2 linked regions of the Stegostoma tigrinum genome follow. The protein of the gene in region 1 interacts with the protein of each later gene in a pairwise test. Links are inferred from orthologs where the notes say so. Each region holds a gene or a part of one and is shown in the gene's direction. Other genes may lie near its edges.

What was found. The genes of interacting proteins can lie anywhere in the genome.
Region 2: the proteins of UPF0500 protein C1orf216 homolog (region 1) and rab effector MyRIP-like interact in binary tests that used the Homo sapiens proteins (3 or more experiments, as listed by UniProt). The two-hybrid records come from large-scale screens. The link is inferred for Stegostoma tigrinum from reciprocal best matches to the Homo sapiens genes C1orf216 and MYRIP.

What each region holds. Positions count from the first base shown.
Region 1 is NC_081377.1:22,222,477-22,232,890, reverse strand, and holds the start of UPF0500 protein C1orf216 homolog, read left to right. Parts: upstream 1-5,461; 5' UTR 5,462-5,950; intron 5,951-10,414.
Region 2 is NC_081355.1:9,733,324-9,743,274, reverse strand, and holds the start of rab effector MyRIP-like, read left to right. Parts: upstream 1-6,082; 5' UTR 6,083-6,355; intron 6,356-9,951. UniProt on the Homo sapiens protein: Rab effector protein involved in melanosome transport. Serves as link between melanosome-bound RAB27A and the motor proteins MYO5A and MYO7A. May link RAB27A-containing vesicles to actin filaments. Functions as a protein kinase A-anchoring protein (AKAP).

The sequences.
Region 1 (10,414 bases):
TAAATCCTTCCTAGGATATGGGGCACAAAAGTGCACACAATATTCTAAACATGGTCTGAACAGAGCTTTATAAAGCCTCTAAAGTACAATCCCTGTTTTTATATTCTATTCCTCTTGAAATAAACGCCAACTTTGTATTTACCTTCCTAACTACTGATCCAGCCTGCAAGTTAACCTTAACGGAACCTTGGAATACGACTCCTGAGTCCGTTTGCACTTCAGATTTCTGAATTTGTTGCCATTTAGAAAATAGTGTATGCCTTTATTCTTCCTACCAAGCTGTGAGACCTCACATTTTCCCATGTTTTCCCATGTTATATTCCATCTGCCACTTTCTTTTTGTCCACTTTCCTAACTGTCCAAATCTTTCTGCAGCCTCCGCACCTCTTCAATATGACCTATATTTCTATCATCTACAAACTTAGCCAGATGCCCTCAGTTCATTCAGCTAGATCATTAATGTATAAAGTGAAAAGTTGTGGTCTCAACACTGACCCTTGTGGAGCATCACTAGTCACCAGCTGCCATCTGAGAACGACCTTTTTATCCCCACTCTCTGCTTTCTACCAGATAGCCAATCTTCTATCCATGCTAGTACCTTGCCTCTAACACCATGGGCCCTTATCTCACTCAGCAGCCTTCTGTGCAGCATCTTGTCAAAGGCGTTCTTGAAGCCCAAGTAGATAACATCCATCAGCTTTGCTTGGTCCAACCTGTTCATTATCGCCTCAAAGAATTCTACCAGATTTATCAGGCATGACCTCCCCTTGATGAAACCATTGCTGACTTTGCCCTATTTTGGCAAGCACTTCCAAGTATTCTGAAATCTCATCCTTTACGAAGGACTCTAAAATCTTACCAATGACTGAGGCCAGGCTAACTGGCTTACCGTCTTTTGCCTTACTCCGTTCTTAAACTGGGATCCTCCTTGACTCCAGCGATTCCTGAAAGGTCACACTAACGCCTCCAGCTATCTCCTTCAGAGTCTGGAATCACATGTCAGTCAGATCAAGGAAGGATGGGACATCCTTAGGAGACATTCGTGAACCAGATGGGTTTTTCTGACTATTGATAATGGACTCATGGTCATCATTAGACTTTTAATTCTCAATTTTTTTAAAGTGAACTCAAATTATGTGTCATGGCATTTGGGGCTAACTTGTTGAATGTTTTTAAGGCAAGATCGGATAGATTTTTGAACAGTTATGAAATTAAAGGCTATGGTGACAGGGAAGTAGAGTTGAGTTCACAAAAAGATCAGCCATGATCTTACTGAATGGTGGAGCAGGCTCAATGGGCCAGATGGCTTCCCTCCACTCCTACTTCTTAGATTCTTATGGCAAGATTTGAGCACAGGTCCCCAGGACGTTGCCTGGGTCTCTGGATTAACAGTCCTGTGATAACACCACTAGGCTGTCACCTTCCCGGATTCAGCAGGGTTTTGCAGCAGTGATGTCAAGGCTAGCGTTTGGGCTCTTTCAAGGTGGCTACACATTTTCATACACCAGTCATTATTTCTGAAGAGCTGAGCAAGTGTCCAAGAATGAAATAGTACTGCTGGAATTTTTTCTTCCCTCCAGTTGTGAGGATATTTTACAACGTCTCATCCAGAGATGCATGAATCTCACCAGCAGGATCAACAGCAAATTGTCACCACAATTACTGCCCTAAACTGGGGGCAGTGTAACACTGGTTGAGGATGAAAAGGAAGATCAACTGGAAAGAAGCAGATAGATGGGAGGCCAGCCTGACTGAAAGGAATGATTCTAAGTTCCATTTGGAAACGTTCACACTCTTTAATTTTCCATCACCTCTTACCTTTTCTCAATGGTGTCTATTATTAGATTAACTCTTCATACCCATAATTTTTTTCTGATCATCTTTCCTTGTATTTGAAAAAGACTCCTAAATAATATTTGTTATTTCTTGCACATTTCCCACAGCTCACCTATTAACAATCTCTCTGGGTGCTTTATTCAAGCTTTCTTCCTTCCCCACTCCCCTATTCTCCTTTTGATTGATTGTATCACAATACTCTCTTTCATTTTTTGCGACACTGCCCAAAATGTTATCCCTTTTTAAAATTTTTTTCTGAGCATTAGCAAGCCTATCAGTTCCTATTTTAGTTTAAGATTGTCGAGTGAAGATTTACAATCACCAAACGAGCCATTTCATATTGAATAGACAAAGACAAATGGGCATCAAAGATACAGACAGATTCAGACCTTTGGCTTTGCTGCAAGGATGCACTTTAATGTCAAATGAACACCTTCTACTTCACTCATTTAATTTCATGCAGCAATCCTGAATGGCATCCATCAATTTATGGAAGGCTTTATTCCATTGACGGACGGCCATCGAGACTTGGTTGCAATTTCACAAATCATTTAATAAAGCACGCTTAGAGTTATTAGAGAAACGAGGCTTTCAGCATTGATCGGGTTGAATTTAAACAAGGGATGCACTCCAAGTCCTATGCTGATTACACAATTTCAATGCATCTTCAAAAAGCTGTTACAACAGTGTAAACTGACCATTAACAATATTTTCTTGGGGTGGGTCAGTAACAGATATCTCACTCATAATATAAACTAAACCAGTCATAGTATAAACTAAACCAAATTAAATTAATTTGGGAACCGTTGCTCCACATTCCAAAGAAAGCCATTCAGTAACTGAAATAAATAAATTACATTTTCAAAATGCTAATCCTGTAAAGTATACAAGTTTGTATTTATTAGCTTACCAACATGCCACTTACAAAAAGTACAAATGTACCAGGTGTTCTTGCATGAATATGGTGTGAAACAGACTAGAGACTAGTCAAATGGTCATCAAAGTCACATACTGACAAATAAAAAGTCAAAATTAAACTATACCTGAATATTTGTCAAAACTTGAGAGACTTTTGGTCTACCAAACAGAATATATACAACATCATTACACTGTACAGCTACTCCATGAATGCAGCTTTTGGCAGTAATCAGAACAAGTTTAGATCCATTAGCATAGACAGAGGAAAGATCTTGCATTTATAATGCCATTCAGATTCTCGACCACTGCTAAAATATTTCACAGTCGGCTAATTTCTAAGTGTCGTCTTTGCTGCTATGTGAACAAACTCTATGGTGTGAGGGCTTATGGTACCCTGCTTTGCTAATGAGGGCCTGGAGGTCCCGTTAAACATTGGGGGAGGTGTGTCCTGGAGCATGCCTGAGATGTTGGTGACTGATGCAGGTCTAGAGGAGAATGTGGTGAGCTAGAGTTGCTGGGTTACCACGCTGACTTTCATGACAGGAATTGTCGCTGTCTAGTGGCAGTATGGAGGGTGGGAGAATGGGGAAGTTTCGTGTCAGTAAGGTGAGATGACATCTTAATGAGGATGTTAATGCATACAAATCGGTCTCTCGCTGCTCAATAGTGAGAATCTTGTCTCGCCCTTCAACACCTGGTTGGCAATGGGGCTAAGCTCTTGGTTGGCCATCTCACCTGAATTTCCTAGCCTTCTTTTCATGGCCCACATTGATTAGGGGCTAGGATGATTCTGCCCAAATCTCAAAAGCTAACACCAGTGACAGAGTATGCACAGAAGCACAGAAACACTCATTCATCAGGAATTCATCTGCACATTTCAATATTGCTGTAGATACAAGGCATCAGCTAAACAGCTCTGTAAGTTGCATGTTCTTTTATCCTACCAGGCCCTTTCTCTTTTTACAACTTTATGCTTATATTTATGTTGTGTAGTGACGTTATATATTATTTTACTTCGGGCTAGTAAGTAATAAAACCCTTCTTTCTTCCACTAAAGGAAATGTTGTTAATTTTGATGATTACCCATGTTTTAATTGAAGTGTGATGCATGTTGAATGGAATAAAAAATATTTGTTGCAAGGGACTTGAAAAGTGTGGAGCTAATGAACCCCGTTTTATCTGGTCATGATAAATTCCATTGTCAATGCAATTTACCCATAAATTTGATCAAAACAGTATTCACATCTTTTTAAAGTAAAAGAATCAATACTTTATATGGTTTAGTAAATAGGCAGTTAAGCATGCTATAATTCAAAATTTTAGGTCTAGCTCGAAGTGCCAACCTTGGGTCAGGAACAATTTAGTCTCAGGAGGTTGTAAGTTCAAATCTCACCAGAGGAATGAACAAATAATTAAAGCTGACACTGAAATGTATACAGAGGGAGCACTGAACAGTCTGACATACTGACTAGTGGTGTTAAATTGAGGCTCTGTTTGCCACTTACCTGCTTGACAAAAATTTCATGGCACTATTTCACAGAGCAGTGGGGATATTCTTACTGGCTTTCTGGCCAATTGTTATCCCTCTACCCACATTACTGAAACAGATCTTGTTAGTACCTCGATGTTTGTGAGAGCTTGCTGCATGTAAATGAATGGCCGCATTTCCCTATAATATAACAGTCACTATATTTAAAAACACTTCATCGACTGTTATGCAGCCTGGAAATTTCTAAGATTGTAAATGGTGCTATATAAATAAAATTAATTCTTTTAACAGTTTATGGTGTCATCACCACCAGCTGAGTTGCTTGTTTTAATCCATTTCCTAATTCAGTACTGTGACATTTTCACAAGGAGTGGGCATTATTTCAGGGTTTCACTGGTGTACTTTCCCCAAACACTGGTTGAAATATAATTTCCTAACTTTGTATGTGCAATAATATAAAACAATCACTGGATGTTGCCATTCCTAAACACCAGAAAAATCATAGTACAGTCAATGATTTCTCTTTAGAGTGGTGAGAGAATTGAATTCTATGCAGTTCTGCAGGGTAGAATTAAGAGTCCTGGCAGAAACCTCACCAAGATCAAGGTCTGGGCAGCTTTGATCTCAGAATGAGTTCCTTTTGATTGCAGCTCTCAAAGTGTCTGCTTTGTCTCCTGAGAGTTCTGGAATCAAGCTTTTACTTTAATCTCTCCATCATTAGTGCTGCTTGCACAGGAAGTTGACACTTCCCAAAGACCTCTGGGACTTTTGCTCTCAGGCTGAATTCCAAGGTTTGAACATCTAGTGAAATTTCTTAACCATTTTCTACCTTCTTTTGCAGTTATGTAAAAACATTCTGCACCCTGTGTCCTAGAACCAATTCTATTTTAACCTAAACATCTTTTATATTTAAATAGTATTTGCTAATCCATGTTTCGTTTTGCTCTCTTACACCTACCAATTTGTAACGTACAAATGGAATCAAATATATTGCTTCTGAAGAAAGAAATAGGGATGGAATGAAAGGCTTTTAGATGTATCAGTAGGATTCTCAAATGGCTTCTATTGATGCATTTATTTATTCATTTTTCCATTCTTTGTTTTTCATTCCTGCTGCTCTGTGTGGAATATAGAAGCTGTGTCTAAAAGCTAGTGACAAATTCGGTGGCACTTTTTCAACGCTGGTTGCAGTAAACAGGCTAATGACAGCATTGTGAATCGTGTGCCTAGGATTTTGACACAAACACATTAACCGATGCATTAAAAATAGTGTCAAGGAATATCAGTCGCATGAAAGGTTAGTGGATACCCTGATTGTGTCATCGCAGAGTGCATGCAAGTTACAATGTGACATTGTGAATGGAGGTATGTGCAGATTATTTTTTAAAGCAGTCTTTCAAAATTTGGCTGAAATTGAAACAGTAACGGAAACAGATACAGAAGGCCCACCAGGCAATTAAGCAACTTGCAAATCCAAACAGGAAAATAGTGAGCTGTTTATTGCCAAGCTTTGTTATGGCACAAAAAGCTGTCAATGATCCAGAACTATCAAGACACAAACTGGAGTGTTCTGATGGAAGAAAGAATGCCACACAGTATGAAAGTTGCAAGGAATGTTGCTGAAAACCAAGTAAAGGGAAAGAAAAGGAGCAGCTTTCTGTTCAAACTAGGAAGAGGAGAGTAGCTTCATTTTATGGGAAAAGAAAGGTAAGTCCACCTTGATTGCTGCACAGTGCAGATAGTACATCTGTGCTCTCTTGGAATGAAGACTGCAGTTACATTATCTGTATTATCACATTGAGTAAAGAAGGGGAAGAATGTGATTACAATTCACAAAGCCTCTTGTTACATTGTTTAATTCCATGCCTATACTCATTATTGATGGCACAAAGTTTCCATATGCCTGCACCATATAAATCTTCTGCAACATTTCTTTACCTTGCTAATCTCTCTCACCCTTTTAACATGGACCTCGATTAATTTTTCAAGGCCTTACCCTAAACTATTTTCTGTTGATGTCCACCTCCTGAACAAGCATCGCAGAATGGTTCAAAATTCGAAACCTGTGTCAGTTGTTGCAAACAACACAGAAAGAAAGCTTGTAGGAATGAAATGCTTATTTTAGGAGGCGACTGTACCCTTCAGGATCTAGAATGCAAGGTATACCATTTATCCTTGCAATATGCTTGGATTATATGATATTTTGTAACAAACTAAGTCAAGATTGCAATCTCCCTGAATTAAGTCTGTGATGTCATAAACTTTAAATTGTAAATTTAAATAGAACAAAAGTTATTGAATGGAACAATCCTTGTCAGGTAGTACATTGGAAAGGAACAGACCGTGTTCATGCAGAGTCATATTGTTTACTTGTGAGACATTAAGGCATTCAACTTTTTTGCATTAACTTGATTAGTAAACAGCAATGATGTTGCATCCCACAGACAACTGCATTCTATTAGTTTTAACTTCTCTGTCTTAAAGAGTCACTATATTTGTTCACAGGTTATTACATGCATAATTTAGGAGTTTATGGAGTAATGTAATTTACCCTGGAGCATGCTGCTGTTCAAAAGCAGTGCGGTTTAAATAACCCAGTTGCAAAATAAGCAACAAGTCTTAAACCCAACTGTATCATATACAGTGTGTGCCCACTTTGAATTGCAAGCACCATTCCTCTACAGAAGGAGTTATTGTGTGCGCGAATTCGTGGTTGGAAATAAACAAGCACAAGGTCAATTTAAACACAAGCCAGTGACTTCAGCGTGGTCATATAGAGACATACTTCCATGAAAGCCAGTACAGATTATCTGAAATTCCAATGGGTTGCCAGACAGAACTGATAATTCATGTGATGAGCTATTCAGAATTTAAAAGAAATTATGGCATGCTTGTTGCCTTTTGATGTTTAAGAAATAGGGCCTTTTTAGACATATATTTTAAAAAGACCCATTGATGTTTGTTGAAAAGACAATTAAAGATAAACATCAATTTCAGTTTGTTTTTTGAGAACGCACTCATCATAAGAGAGAAATAAACTGGGATAATTCAACTATAATGCCTTATCTTTCAAATGTTCTCAATTCATTGAGGAATAATCTTCCCTTTGTACACTGTGTTTGACTGAGTTGCGAAATGGCTGACCTGAACCACATCTTTCTCAAATGGTACAACTTATAAGAGGTTTCTGTAGTGATTGTAACAAGATCAGCCAGGTGGACCTCATAGAATATGAGTTCCCTGATTAGAGCTGTTAATCTAGTCCATTCGGGGAACCCTGGCTGACACGTAAGAATATGAGTGTCAGACATCCTATTCATTCTCAGAGCTGACTCTGACGGAGCTGGATCAGTATCAAAGACACTCCGTGTGTAAATAAGGGGTGAATTAGTGACGAAGTATCAGCTTCTGTAGAGTTATTTCAGTGGTGATGTAGCCTACTAACTCAAGCCCAACTGGACTTCAGACAGGCATTACAACTGAAGCTGGATATATGCCCAATCCCTCACATACAGGATTTAGACACAAAGCTTACAGGAGGGCCGTCCCTCACAAAGCTGGACATGAGCCATGCGTGCTTGCAATTGTGGTTAGATGAGGATTCCTAGAGTATGCTATAATTAGTACCCATGTCGGTTTGTAATAATATATGAGACTGCCATCTGGGATATCGTCAGCCTCTGCAAGTTTTCAGTGGATGATGAGGAACATTTTACAATGTTTACCCATGTCAACATTTACCTAGATGATGTGCTAATAATAGGGAAAACCAATAAAGAACAACTAGAGAACTAGGACATAGTCCTAAGACATTTATCACAGATGGGCAAATGCTTTAGAAGGGAAAAATGTGCATTCAAGGCACCCCAAATGGGCTATAAAGTCATCAAGACCCGGTTACATGAGTTAGAAAATAAAGTGAGGGCGCACAAACATGCCCGGCTCCCACGTCTGTACTAGAGCTTAGGTCTTTCATTGGGCCGGTGAATTATCGTGGAAAGTTTGTGCATAACTTGGGCTCCATCCTGGCACCTTTGCGTCAATGCTTAAAAAAGAGTCAGCTTTGGAAATGGTTGCATAGACAAGCCATAGCTTTCAAGGAAGTAAAGAAACAGCTATCATCTTCGAAGGTGTTGGCACACTATGATCCTAAGCGAGGTCTGGTATTGACATGCAATGCCTCTCCATATGCCATGAGGTAGTATTAGCTTACAGGTGGCCCAATTGAAAGGAATGCCCAATACTGTATACATCTAGGATTTTGGTTAATGTATGGCATAAATACGCCAGATAGAGCAGGAAGGTTTGGTGGTCATACCTGGAGTCAGGAAGTTACACCAAAACCTTTACGGACATAAATTTGTAGTAACGGACCACATATCCCTACCAGGTCTACTTAGAGAAGACAAGGCAATGCTGCCCCTAGCTTCAGGTTGAATTCAGTGGTGGGCTCTAATACTAAGTGCATGTCATTACAAGTTGGAACATCATCAGGGAGGCCAAGTAACATTGGCAGATGTGTAGATCTGCCTCCTGCTGGAAGATACACCGCCAGTCGTACTTCAATTGGAAGTGTCTGTAATGGTTTTAAATTTTCTTGACACTCTTCCAGTCACAGCTGAAATATCAGACCTTGAACGCAGAAAGATATAGTCCTGGCAAAACTGAAAGAGCTGGTGGTATTGCGGGAAACTAAAGGACTGGCACAACCAGAATTGAAATGCTTTTGGACTTGGAGAGACCAGATCACAGGAGAGAATGGCATATTATTATGGGGAACAAGAGCTAATGTTCGGAGCAAAGTTCACTGCCACATATTATCTAAACTCCACCAGTGTCATCCAGGGATTTCCAAAACAAAGATATTGTCGAGAAGTTATGCCTGGTGGCCAAGATTGGATGCAGGCATAGCTGTGGAGGTGGGGAAGTGCTCAGAGTGTCAACAGGGACAAAAATTACCTCCAGCAGCTTCCCGACATTCGTAGGAATGACTGGGTAAACCGTGGACTCAGTTACACGTCGACTATGTCGGTGCTTTCGTGGCTTAATGTTCTTAGTCATTGTGGGCACCCACTCAAAGTGGCTGGACATGCAGAGAATTTATTCATCAAACAAGGGGACAATGAAAGAAAAACCGCCCACATCTTTTGCAATGCATGGGCTCCTAGATATATTGGTCACAGATAATGGGCCATCGTTTATCAGAGGGAAATTTCAGTATTTCCTCAAGTCAAATAATTCTCTGCATGTAAGGACAGCTCCATACCACTAATCATCCATTGGTCTGGCAGAAAGAGCAGTCCAAACTTTGAAGGAAGGCTTAAGGAAATAACCTACAGCTTCACTCGATACCCAACTGTCCCAGTTGCTATTTGATTTCCGGACCACCTCTCATGCAATTACAGGGATAGCTCCAGCAGAGTTGCTAATGGGGGGGAAGACTCTGGACCAGGTTGAACCTGATCATCCTGGACCTGAGAGTGGAGGGTGAAACGGCAGCAGGAATGCCAATGCCAGACACAAGACTCCACTAAGCGAAAGACACAGTTTACTACAGGGGACCAAGTTTGGCGATGAAGCCAGGGAAATGGCCTTGCATGGGTATGAGGCATGTTCAATGTAAGGTCAGGTCCCATAATGTATAAACTTAAGTGTGACAGCTCTGAAGAAGCATGTCAACCATATGAAGGTTGCAACCTCGCAAATAGTCAGGGAGCAAAATGTTCCCGTCTCCTGGGCAGCCTTTCTGACTGTTTCAGAATTGATGGGTTCTCCCTCTCTGAGAAGCATTGAAGCTATCTCAGAATCAGGGATGGACGTGGCAGATGTTGCTGCCTCAACGCATTTGCAGCCTGAAGAAGAGTATTAATTTCTTCCGAGGTGCTGTCGACACAAGAAGCAAGCTGCTGTGCATTACAAACCACCCGTATCAGAGGCAACCTTGGAGGAACCTAACCCACTGCTAAGATGCCTCAGGAGGAGTTACAGAAACAAAATACCTGGCCTATGTCCTCAGGCTCAGAAAGGGAGGGATGTAGTGACTGTAACAAGGTCAGCCAGCTGGACGAAATAGAATTTGAGTTTCCTGATCGGACAGATTAACAGTCCCAATCGGGGAGCCCTGGCTGACAGATAAAAGCAGGGCTGTCAGACATCTTGTTCACTCTGAGA
Region 2 (9,951 bases), on another chromosome or scaffold:
TATTTTTCCAAATAAGGGATGGTGTTTACATTTTATGTGTTTGGCAGACTTGAACCTTGATGCTGAAACATGTCTCCAAGAAGAGAGCAGAAACTGTGTGCTGTACAGTTAGGAAGGACAAGAACATTGAAGACAGAAAGGGTGATGGATTGTGAATTATAGAACACCCATTGTTGTTATTTTCAGTTTTTCAGAATCTACCAAGCTGTATAAAATAAAAGGTAAACAAATCTCTGGTGATGGTGATATAAAGTTGAGTGTGGGAAATGGTTGAATGATAGTGGAGATGTTAATCAGGGATCAGAGATGGAATCTTGTCCGCAGGTATTCACATTGCTTAGGGTAGCTGGGTTGGGGGATCGTTGGCTCAGGGTATTAGTTAGGTCAGGTTATTCAGATATAGTTAAATTTAGTCAGGGAGAGTGTAATTAGGTCCGAGGATAGAGGGGGATAATTCTTGGGGATATTCACAGTGCTGGGGGATAGTTGGGGATTTGGTGGGGCAGTTGGGTGGTCAGGGGAGTAGTTGGGGGTAAGACAAGGATGCTGGAGGGTCAGTGGGGGAATCCATCTGGGTTACGTAAATAACTGGGAGTTGTAACATATAAATCTTTGGAACATTTCCTGGGAGCTAACCCAGATAAGTGAATTAGAATCCAACAAAGTCTCTGATTCTATCTTGGAATTGGAGGCTTTTTCCAAAGGTTCGGGATGCAGGGCAATTGCCCATCAGAAGTTTAAACTTCCTGGCTATTTCCAACATAGCTACTATGTCAAGACATCTGAGAGTCCTGATGAAAATGTGGTAGGGACCTGGACAAGATCTGGGCTGTTATAATGTTACTGCCAAGGTCACAAACTCCTGCCTTGTTCAGATATGATCCACCACTAATTTCCAGATTTGCAATTTCAGGCAGTGAACCCATCAGAGTGGCATTGTGGCTCAGTGGTCAGCACTGCAGCCTCACAGCACCAGGGACCCAGGTTCAATTCAACCCTCAGGTGACTGTCTGTGTGGAGTTTGCAGATTCTCCTTATGTCTTCGTGGGTTTCCTCCAGGTGCTCCAGTTTCCTCCCACGGTCCAAAGATGTGCAGGCTAGGTGGATGGGCCATGCTAAATTGCCCATAGTGTTCAGATGTGTGTGGATTATAGGGGGATGGGTCTGGGTGAGGTGCTCCAAGGGGCAGTGTGGACTTGTTGGGCCGAAGGCCCTGTTTCCACACTGTAGAGAATCTGATCATTTTTTAAAAAAAAATCCAATCAATATGTCATGAATTAGCATGAATGGGGATGACTATATGTGCATGAAGGACATGAAATGTACGCACTATACATATCCATGAACAGCTGACTTCAAATCCACATTGGGATCATGTCACTAGAGGAAAGACTAACCACTTAAGTGATGAAGGTGCAAGTGGACAGGAATTACAGGCTTATAAACTGTATACAGGAGACAGCAATGAACATTCATAAATGGTTTGTGCAAAGTTTACATTCACCATTCTAGCTCAATGGAGACTACAAAGTCACAGAGTTAAGGATCAGCAGGTCTGGAACATCTGTGGAGAGAAATTCAAGTTGATGTTTCAGGTCAAGTGACCCTTCCTCAGAACTGTTCTGACTTCTGAGGAAGGCTCACTCAACCCGAAATGTCAACTGTGATTTCTCTCCACAGATGCTGCCAGATCTGCTGAGCTTTTCCAGCAATTTCTATTTTTGTTTCTGATTGACAACATCTACAGTTCTTTTGGTTTTTGTAGAATTTAGTTAAAGCATTAAAGTTAGATCATTATCTGGATAGGAAAATGTGCAGAGCTAAGAGAAAAAGGCAGGGGAGTAGCTCAAAGCATTTGGTTCCATTGAAGGGCCAGCACAAATAGAATAGGCCAAATGACTTCCTTCAGCTGTAACCATGCTATGATAGAGAATTATTGGGCATGGGTCTGAAGGAGCACTGTGAATGGTATTCTTGTTAAGGAAGGATGTGAATATGTTTGAGAGGGTTCAGAGGAGATTTATTAGATCGATACCTAGAATGAGTGAGTTGTCTCATGAGGATAGGTTGAACAAACTGGGGTTGAGAAGTGTGAGGAGTGGTTTGATAAAACACTGAATTGTCTTAACATGTGCGGAAAGGATGTTTGCTCTTGTGGCTGACTCCAGAAACAGGAGAGGCTGATGTAAAATTATGAATCACCTTTCTGGTACAGAGATGAGAAGAAATCTTTTCTCTCAGAGAGATGGTGATTTTGAAAATCTGTGCTGCAGAAGATGGTAGAGGTGGATTTATTGAATATTTTCAAGGCAAAGTTAAGATTCTTGTTAGGCAGGGGAACTGAAGGTTATCAGTGGTGGGAGGTGGTGGAGATGGGAATGTGGAATTCAAAACACAAACAGTTTGCCTGGAATTTTATGAAATGAAGGATCAGGCTTGAGAAGCTTTTATGGCCTATTTCTGCTCTGAAATGCATGATCTTATGTTTGTACGTGTGTTTCACTTAGAATCCATACAGTGCGGAAGCAGGCCATTTGGCCCATCGAGTCCACACTGACCCTCCAAAGAGCATTCCACCCAGACCCACCCCCTACCCCATCTCTGCTTTTCTCGCAACCTAGTCACTGTGGACAGTTTAGCGTGGCCAATCTATTTAATGTGCACATCTTTGGACTGTGGGAGGAAACTGGAGCACCCGGAGAGAACGTGCACAGACACGGGGAGAATGTGAAAACTCCACACAGACAGTCACCTGAGGGAGGGATCTAACCTGGTCCCTGGCGCTGAGAGGCAGCGGCGCTAACCACTGAGCCACCGTGCCGCCCACTTATTTGTATTTCACTTGAGGGAAGTTCAAAATGCCAAGAATTCATTACTTCCATGCCTTCAAACAGGCGAATACCTGAAAATACAGGATGACTTTGAACTGCTGGAGTTGAAGTTGAGGGAATAGAAAGTTGCAATGCCAATACATCGAGTGTATTTCCTTCAGGGGATGTGAGAAAGTGTAAAGTTTATTCACAGGCACCATGCTATGATTGTGACTCCATGAGCTAAGGTTGATTCACTCTTGGCAATCTCAGAAACCATTAGACTTGAGCTAGATTAACTTTGTACCACCCCGATGAGGATTCCATTAACACTTTGTGGCTAGTGGATGCCTATCGCACATTGTTACAACCATTTTTGAAGATTTATGATCTTCTTTCTCCTCCCGGCTCAAACCATTTATTTGCTACTGTAAGATAATAAAATGTGAGGCTGGATGAGCACAGCAGGCCAAGCGGCATCTCAGGAGCACAAAAGCTGATGTTTCGGGCCTAGACTCTTCATCAGATTTTCTAATGAAGGGTCTAGGCCCGAAACATCAGCCTTCCTGCTCCTCTGATGCTGCTTGGCCTGCTGTGCTCATCCAGCTCTACACCTTGTTACCTCAGATTCTCCAGCATCTGCAGTTCCTATTATCTGTGGACCATAAGGCGATTTGATTCCAGGCATCCAAACACTTGATCAAACAGCTGAATGCTTTTATTCCTCAATTCATTCATGGAAAGTAGGCATAACTAGCCGGACCAGCATTAATTGTCCATCCCTAATTATTCGTAGAGCAGTTAAGGATCAATCCCATTGCTGTGGGTTTGGAGTCACATGTAGGCCAGACTAGACAAGAATGGCAGTTTCCTTCCCTGAAGGGCATTAGTGAGCCTGATGGGTTTTTCTTGACAATCTAGAATGGACATCTTTAGAGTCTTAGTTTTCCTATATCGAATTCTAATTTCACCATCTACCACAGCAGGATTTGAACCTGGGTCCCTAGAATATTACCTTGGCCACGGGATTAATAGCCCAGTGATAATATCACTAGGCTATTGCCTCCCTTTCAAGGGACTGCTTCAATGAGGGAAGAGATGCAGCTACATTTAAAACCAAATTCCACATCCTAGGGCTTTGGTGGTAGAAGGTGCAACTGCTAACGGTCAAGCCAATAAACTTTGCAATGCTCAAAAGGCCAAAATCAAAGCAGATTACACAAAGGCTATGTGGGTCTGGGTGAGGTTAAAGAGTGCAGGAGGGTGTAAATTCAAGGAGGGATGAGAGGACAATGGTGCTGCATTTATTTGACCAGACTCCAGTGCAGGTCAAAGGGCTGGTGGGTGTTCAGGACAGAATACCAATTCAGACATAGATAGGAGAGTTGTGATCAGAGATAATGGGAACTGCAGATGCTGGAGAATCCAAGATAATAAAGTGTGAAGCTGGATGAACACAGCAGGCCAAGCAGCATCTCAGGAGCACAAAAGCTGACGTTTCGGGCCTAGACCCTTCATCAGACAATGCTCGTAACGTCAGCTTTTGTGCTCCTGAGATGCTGCTTGGCCTGCTGTGTTCACCCAGCTTCACACTTTGTTAGCATAGATAGGAGATTACTGGCTGGACTGAGTTTAGAGAAGGTGGGCATGTTACTGCACAGCCAGGTATCCAGCCTTTGTAATATGCCGAGTCTGGGGATCGCTACAGGACCAGGTTAGGGCAATGCTGAGTGGAAGCGCGCATTGTGCGCATTTTGCCAGTCCTGCTGCCCAAAATCCCCTTGTGGTGAAACTCTACCCCAGTGTCTCCTCAGGTAGTTCCTTGTGCTGTCAAGATATTGCTATTCTCTAGTCTCTGGGGTAGCTCCTGCTTGAGCTAAAGATAGCCTCTAGCACTCAAAGCAGAAAATTCTGAATGCTGGAAACCTGATGCAGGCACAGAAATGCTAGAGAGACTCTGCAGGTCCAGCAGCAATGTGGAGAGAGAAAGTTAATGTTTTGAGACCAGTATGACTTTCTTTTAGAACTCATCATGCTGGAAGCAGCAGAAATGAATGAGAGAGGTGGAAAGTGAGAATAAGAGGTACACTATTGGGGATCTGGGAGGCAGAGGAAGGGGTGGCAGCTGAAATGGGGGAAATGGGGTAAACACATTGGAGAGCTCATTCTACCACAAACCTGTCAATGTTCAAATTAGACTAATAATGGACATGAAATATGGGCCATTTCCCTGTCAACGATGCAGCCAGATCTGCTGAGTTTCTTCAGCGCTTTCTGCTCTGAATCGATGTGTGCTGCCACTGGACTAATATTGATGGAAAACAATGTCATTACTTGTGACATTTTTGATATATCTTCCCCCCACTGCAGGTAACACAGATTAATCATCTCATGCTAATGCCTTGTTTTCATTGCATCTTGTTTTGACCTTCCCTTAAGCAACTAATCAAAATATTGTTAACTTGATTCAAAGGTCACAGATGAATGACCTTCCTTCCAGAGACCTAGTGGGATGTCTGGGATAATAAAGCACAGGATTGCAGATGCTGAAACAGGCCATTTGGCCCATTAAGTTCATATCAACCCTCTGAATAGCATCCTACTCAGACCCACCCCACCTGTAACCTTCCATTTCCCATAGCTAATCCACCTTCCCTGCACATCCCTCAACAATCTGGGCAATTTAGCACTGCGAATCCACCCATCTTTGGACCATGGTAGGAGGCCAGAGAATCTGGAGAGAATCCATGCAGACATGGGGAGAATGTACAAACTCCATAGACAGTTGCCCGAGAGTGGAACTGACCCCAGATCCCTAGTGCTGTGAGGTAGCAGTGCTAAGCACTGAGCCACGGTGCCACCTTAGAAAATCTGAAACAAAAACACAGATGTCGCTGGAGAAGCTCAGCAAGGCTGGCTACATCTGTGAAGGGAGAAACAGAGTTAACATTTCGACTCCAGTGACCCTTCTTCAGCATGTCCAGGGGAATTTCACTACTCGTGCCTCTCTATTCTTCTTCCAGCCACTATTGGCTCAGGCTGAGGCTGACCGGAACCCCATTGGCTGTTAATGGGACCAGTAGCTCACTAGGTGCTGCCAGCCTGGCCAATGGCAGATGGGCATGGCTCTTGGCTGCGCTGAATGGGAGAGGCTGACCTCTGTGATTGGCTTAGTATGTTGCGGGGTGCGGCCCTCCTGCTCTTGATGGGCAGGTTGAGGATGTGGGCTCAGGCACATCTGGAAGAGTGGCAGCTTGTGCTAGGGGTTGTGATTGTGTACGCAATGCCAGGCTTGGTGTCTGGGCAGTTGCATGCCGCCTGCCTGTGGAAGGAGGGATGCTGGTTCTGTAGCTGCAGGAACAGGCAGGCAGACTGACTGAGCACACCCCCCCCCCCTCCCGTGCCTTTTTCTCCCCAGACTCTCCACCGGAGACACAGAGGGAGAGACATCACTGCTCATTTGAGATCCTGGGGATTTCGTGCCCGGCAAAAAAAATTGGTTTCAAAGTCCATCGTCCTGAGAAACTGCCACATTCTCGCAAAAGGTAGGTTGGGGAATATTTCCTTGGCTGTTGTCGGGAATTAGGTGTCAGCTCTCAGTTACACTGTACCAAATCCAGGGGTTTTGTTCGATCTGCAGAACCGTCGGCCACTGCCTCCGGGCTCTTCCTGGCAATTTTTTAAAAATTACGATCTGCAGGTATCACGCGTTCGACTTTTTAAAATTTAGATGCACAGCTGGCCTCAACTGCCTGGTGTATTTTCGCCTGAACCAACTTGCTGCAGATTGCATCCAACCGGGGAACGCTATTTGCAAACGTGTGCGATTCAGTGTAGGAAGCGTGTGGCTGCAAAGAGAGAGAGAGAGAGACCCGGGGAGAACAGCGTTACCGACCGGTTGCATCGCAAAGACCGGGCAGCGATCGGGGTGGAGTGCAGGGTGACCTGAGGGTTGACCTGGTCACACCAGATCCACCACAAACCGACCCTAAAGGTCACTCCCCCCCCCCCCGACACACAGCTCTAACACCCTCCCTCCCTTAGCTGGCCAATCTGTCCGGAGATTCCGGCACCGCGCGATTTCCCTGTCCTGGTCTGGAAGGGTTTGGATTTAAAAAAATGTTGATGGCAGGCTCGTGTTGCAGTTACGAACACTGTGCATCTTCTTGCGAAGAGGTGCGTGTCTTATCTATGACCGTGATATGTTTTCCTGAACCATGTTATTCCACTTCAATCTGGCTCATTGCAGAATGGCCCCATAGGGACACAGTCGAGTGGGGTTTTTTCTGTCTATTTAACATTCGGCAGAGTGTACTGATCGACCACATCAGTAAGAAGCGAATATTAGCAGATCCCAGGCATAAGTCTGTATTTGCAGTTATACACTGTGAATGTCCAGGCGATAGTTTGTTCCTTTTCCCAATCACTGGAAAACCCATGACTCGTTTTATGAATTCACGCAAGGCGGATCTAAGAGTTAAACCTGCAGTATCTCTTCTCCATTCATTTCAGTGATCAATTATTGCCTAAGTGTAGGTATTTCTTAAATCAACCTGTATACAAATATTATCACACACACACACACACACACACACACACCTTTGAAACTTGAACCTGAGCCTCTTAGCTCAGAGATAGGGGCACCACCACTACACCACAGGAATCCTTATGTCTAACAGTTGATAACAGATGAAGATGATAATCGAAGACTTACATACGTTACACTGTCCTTAATGCAACTCTGCTGTTACATAAGGATTCAGTGGGCTTTCACGAAGGGCTGAACTTGTGGGAAATCAGTGCCCATCTATTCTTAATTAAGATTGATTTCACTCCAATTTGTAAGTAAATGAAAATGCTTTTATTAACCATTATAACACTGTTAACATCTTCCCTTCGAGTGGTGCCTATGTTTAGTGAACTGAGTGCCATGCTTAACAGAAGCCTGTGCCAAAGTTAGTAGTTTATTGGTCAGTGGAGTCCGCTATGCTGGACTGGGTTACACATTGGTTCTCCTCCCTCGCCGCTATGGTTGGGGTCCAGATTGTAGCTCGATGGCCGACCGTAAAGCTGTGAATGAATGTCGGCAGGTTTAATTCAATTCGTCATTGAGAACGTGCAAAAACTGGACCTTAACTGAAATTAAGAGTGAACACTCTGTCTCACTGGTGCATTGAGGATGGTTTTTTTGTGTAGCTCAAGTTGATGCAGAATAAACCGAGCTTTGCTATATGTAACTCGAGAGGGCTTCATCCTGGCACTGTCAGAAACAGAGAAAGCGTTATCTACCATTCTAACAAAACCCAGCCCTTTTAAAAGTGAATTTGAATGGTCAATAGCCTTAATTTTCACTTAAGATGTATTTGCCAAGTGTTATTTGTTAGTTGAAAATTATTTTTCTGCAGATTTTTCTGCCCCACGCCACATGACAAAATGCATATTAATAATAAAGCGCAACTAAAATTCATTTTATACATCAGTAAACATCAACAATCTCAGATCTTTTAGTTAAATGTTGTAATGGAAACTTAGACTTCAAAATGTGTTCAAAATTCTCTTTGCTTCCTGTGTTACCTGAGGCCATATTGAACGATAGTTTAATTGATGTACTTACAGCCTTGTGCAAATCGCCTTTCTTTGCAGAAGGCTGTGAGTTTGCAGATTGATCTTAGCAAATAGTTAACTCTGTTAGCTGTGCCTCAGCATATAATGCTTGAATCTTTGTATCAGAACATCATGGAATAATGATGTGTTCCAAAGACTAACACAAATATACAGCTGATGGTGCAGTACTGGGGGAGTGCTGCCCTGTCTGGTGAATAAGTTGTTAAAACAAAGCCTTGCCTAATTTATTTTTGGGTGAATGGAAGAAGATCATATGATACTGCTTAAGTGAAAAGCAGGGACATTATCCCCCATGTCTTGGTAAGTATTTATTCCACCACAAGAGTAAAGACTGACTATTTGGGTCATTTCACATAGCTGTTTGAATCTACTGTGTCCAAACTGTTTGCTAAATTTTCGCCATTATTGCACAGGTTGTAAAGCATTTTTGGATATTCTGGAATCATAAAAGAATGCAGAATTTTTTTAGTCTAATTTGGATAACTTTATGGAAAATCAATACTATGATTGTGATAACTGTATATATTTTTGAATGCAAATTCTTGGCTTGTAATCAGAAATGGGCACCTGTAGATTTCTCTTCACTTCTTCCAGCCATAGAATAGGTGAACATTTATAGACCTCTCCTATCACATCATATGTGCCCAGGATATAACCAGGGATTAAAATTCTTCATCTCCATGATTGTGTGTACCATTCAGTGTGGTTACATTTTAAACCACTGGGAGATCCAAAGTGTAGAATCTTGAGATACTTACTTCTGTGCAAACAGATGGGAAAATGAATAAGCAGTAACATAAATAAGACAAAAATAAAACTTAGTTGCTGTGAAGTGAATGATTGATTGTGCTCAAATACAGATGGCACCTTGTTTTATATCTTGTCATCCATTCAAATATTTATAGGTAAGGTATTGTGAAAAATTACTAAAGCCGGTACAAGTTGCAATTTTTAAACTTTACGATTAATCATGATAGCTAAGAACAATGGTTTGACTGGGGGGTGATTATAGCCTCCTTTCTTTCAACTTTATTTGTTTTTACAATTAAGTAATTATGACAAAAGCCTCTTGGCAGGGAAGAAAATATGTGTGGAACTGTATTTATTCTTTTAAAAGCAACACTGTAGAACTGTAGTGTGGAAACCATTGCTAATTGTCAGGGAAAACCCACTTGGTTCATTCATGTCCTTTGTTTTAGAGCTGACAGATTTCTTTCCCTATGTGGTCTGGCCAACATGTGACTCCAGCCACACAGCGATATGGTTGCTTATTAGGGGTGGGCAATAAATACTAGTCCAGCTGGTGATGCTAAGACCATGAATTAATTTTTAAAAAATGCAACATTTTATGATGTCAGCAACTGTTCAGGTTACAGAATGACCAATGATCACAAAGTGCCCTAAGAATTACGACAGTCAAAGCATATCCCATTGAACTATCCTTCCCAGTGAAGGAAAATTACACTGGAATGGGAAGACGCCAGACAAGCAGATAATGGCAATGTAAATATGTATC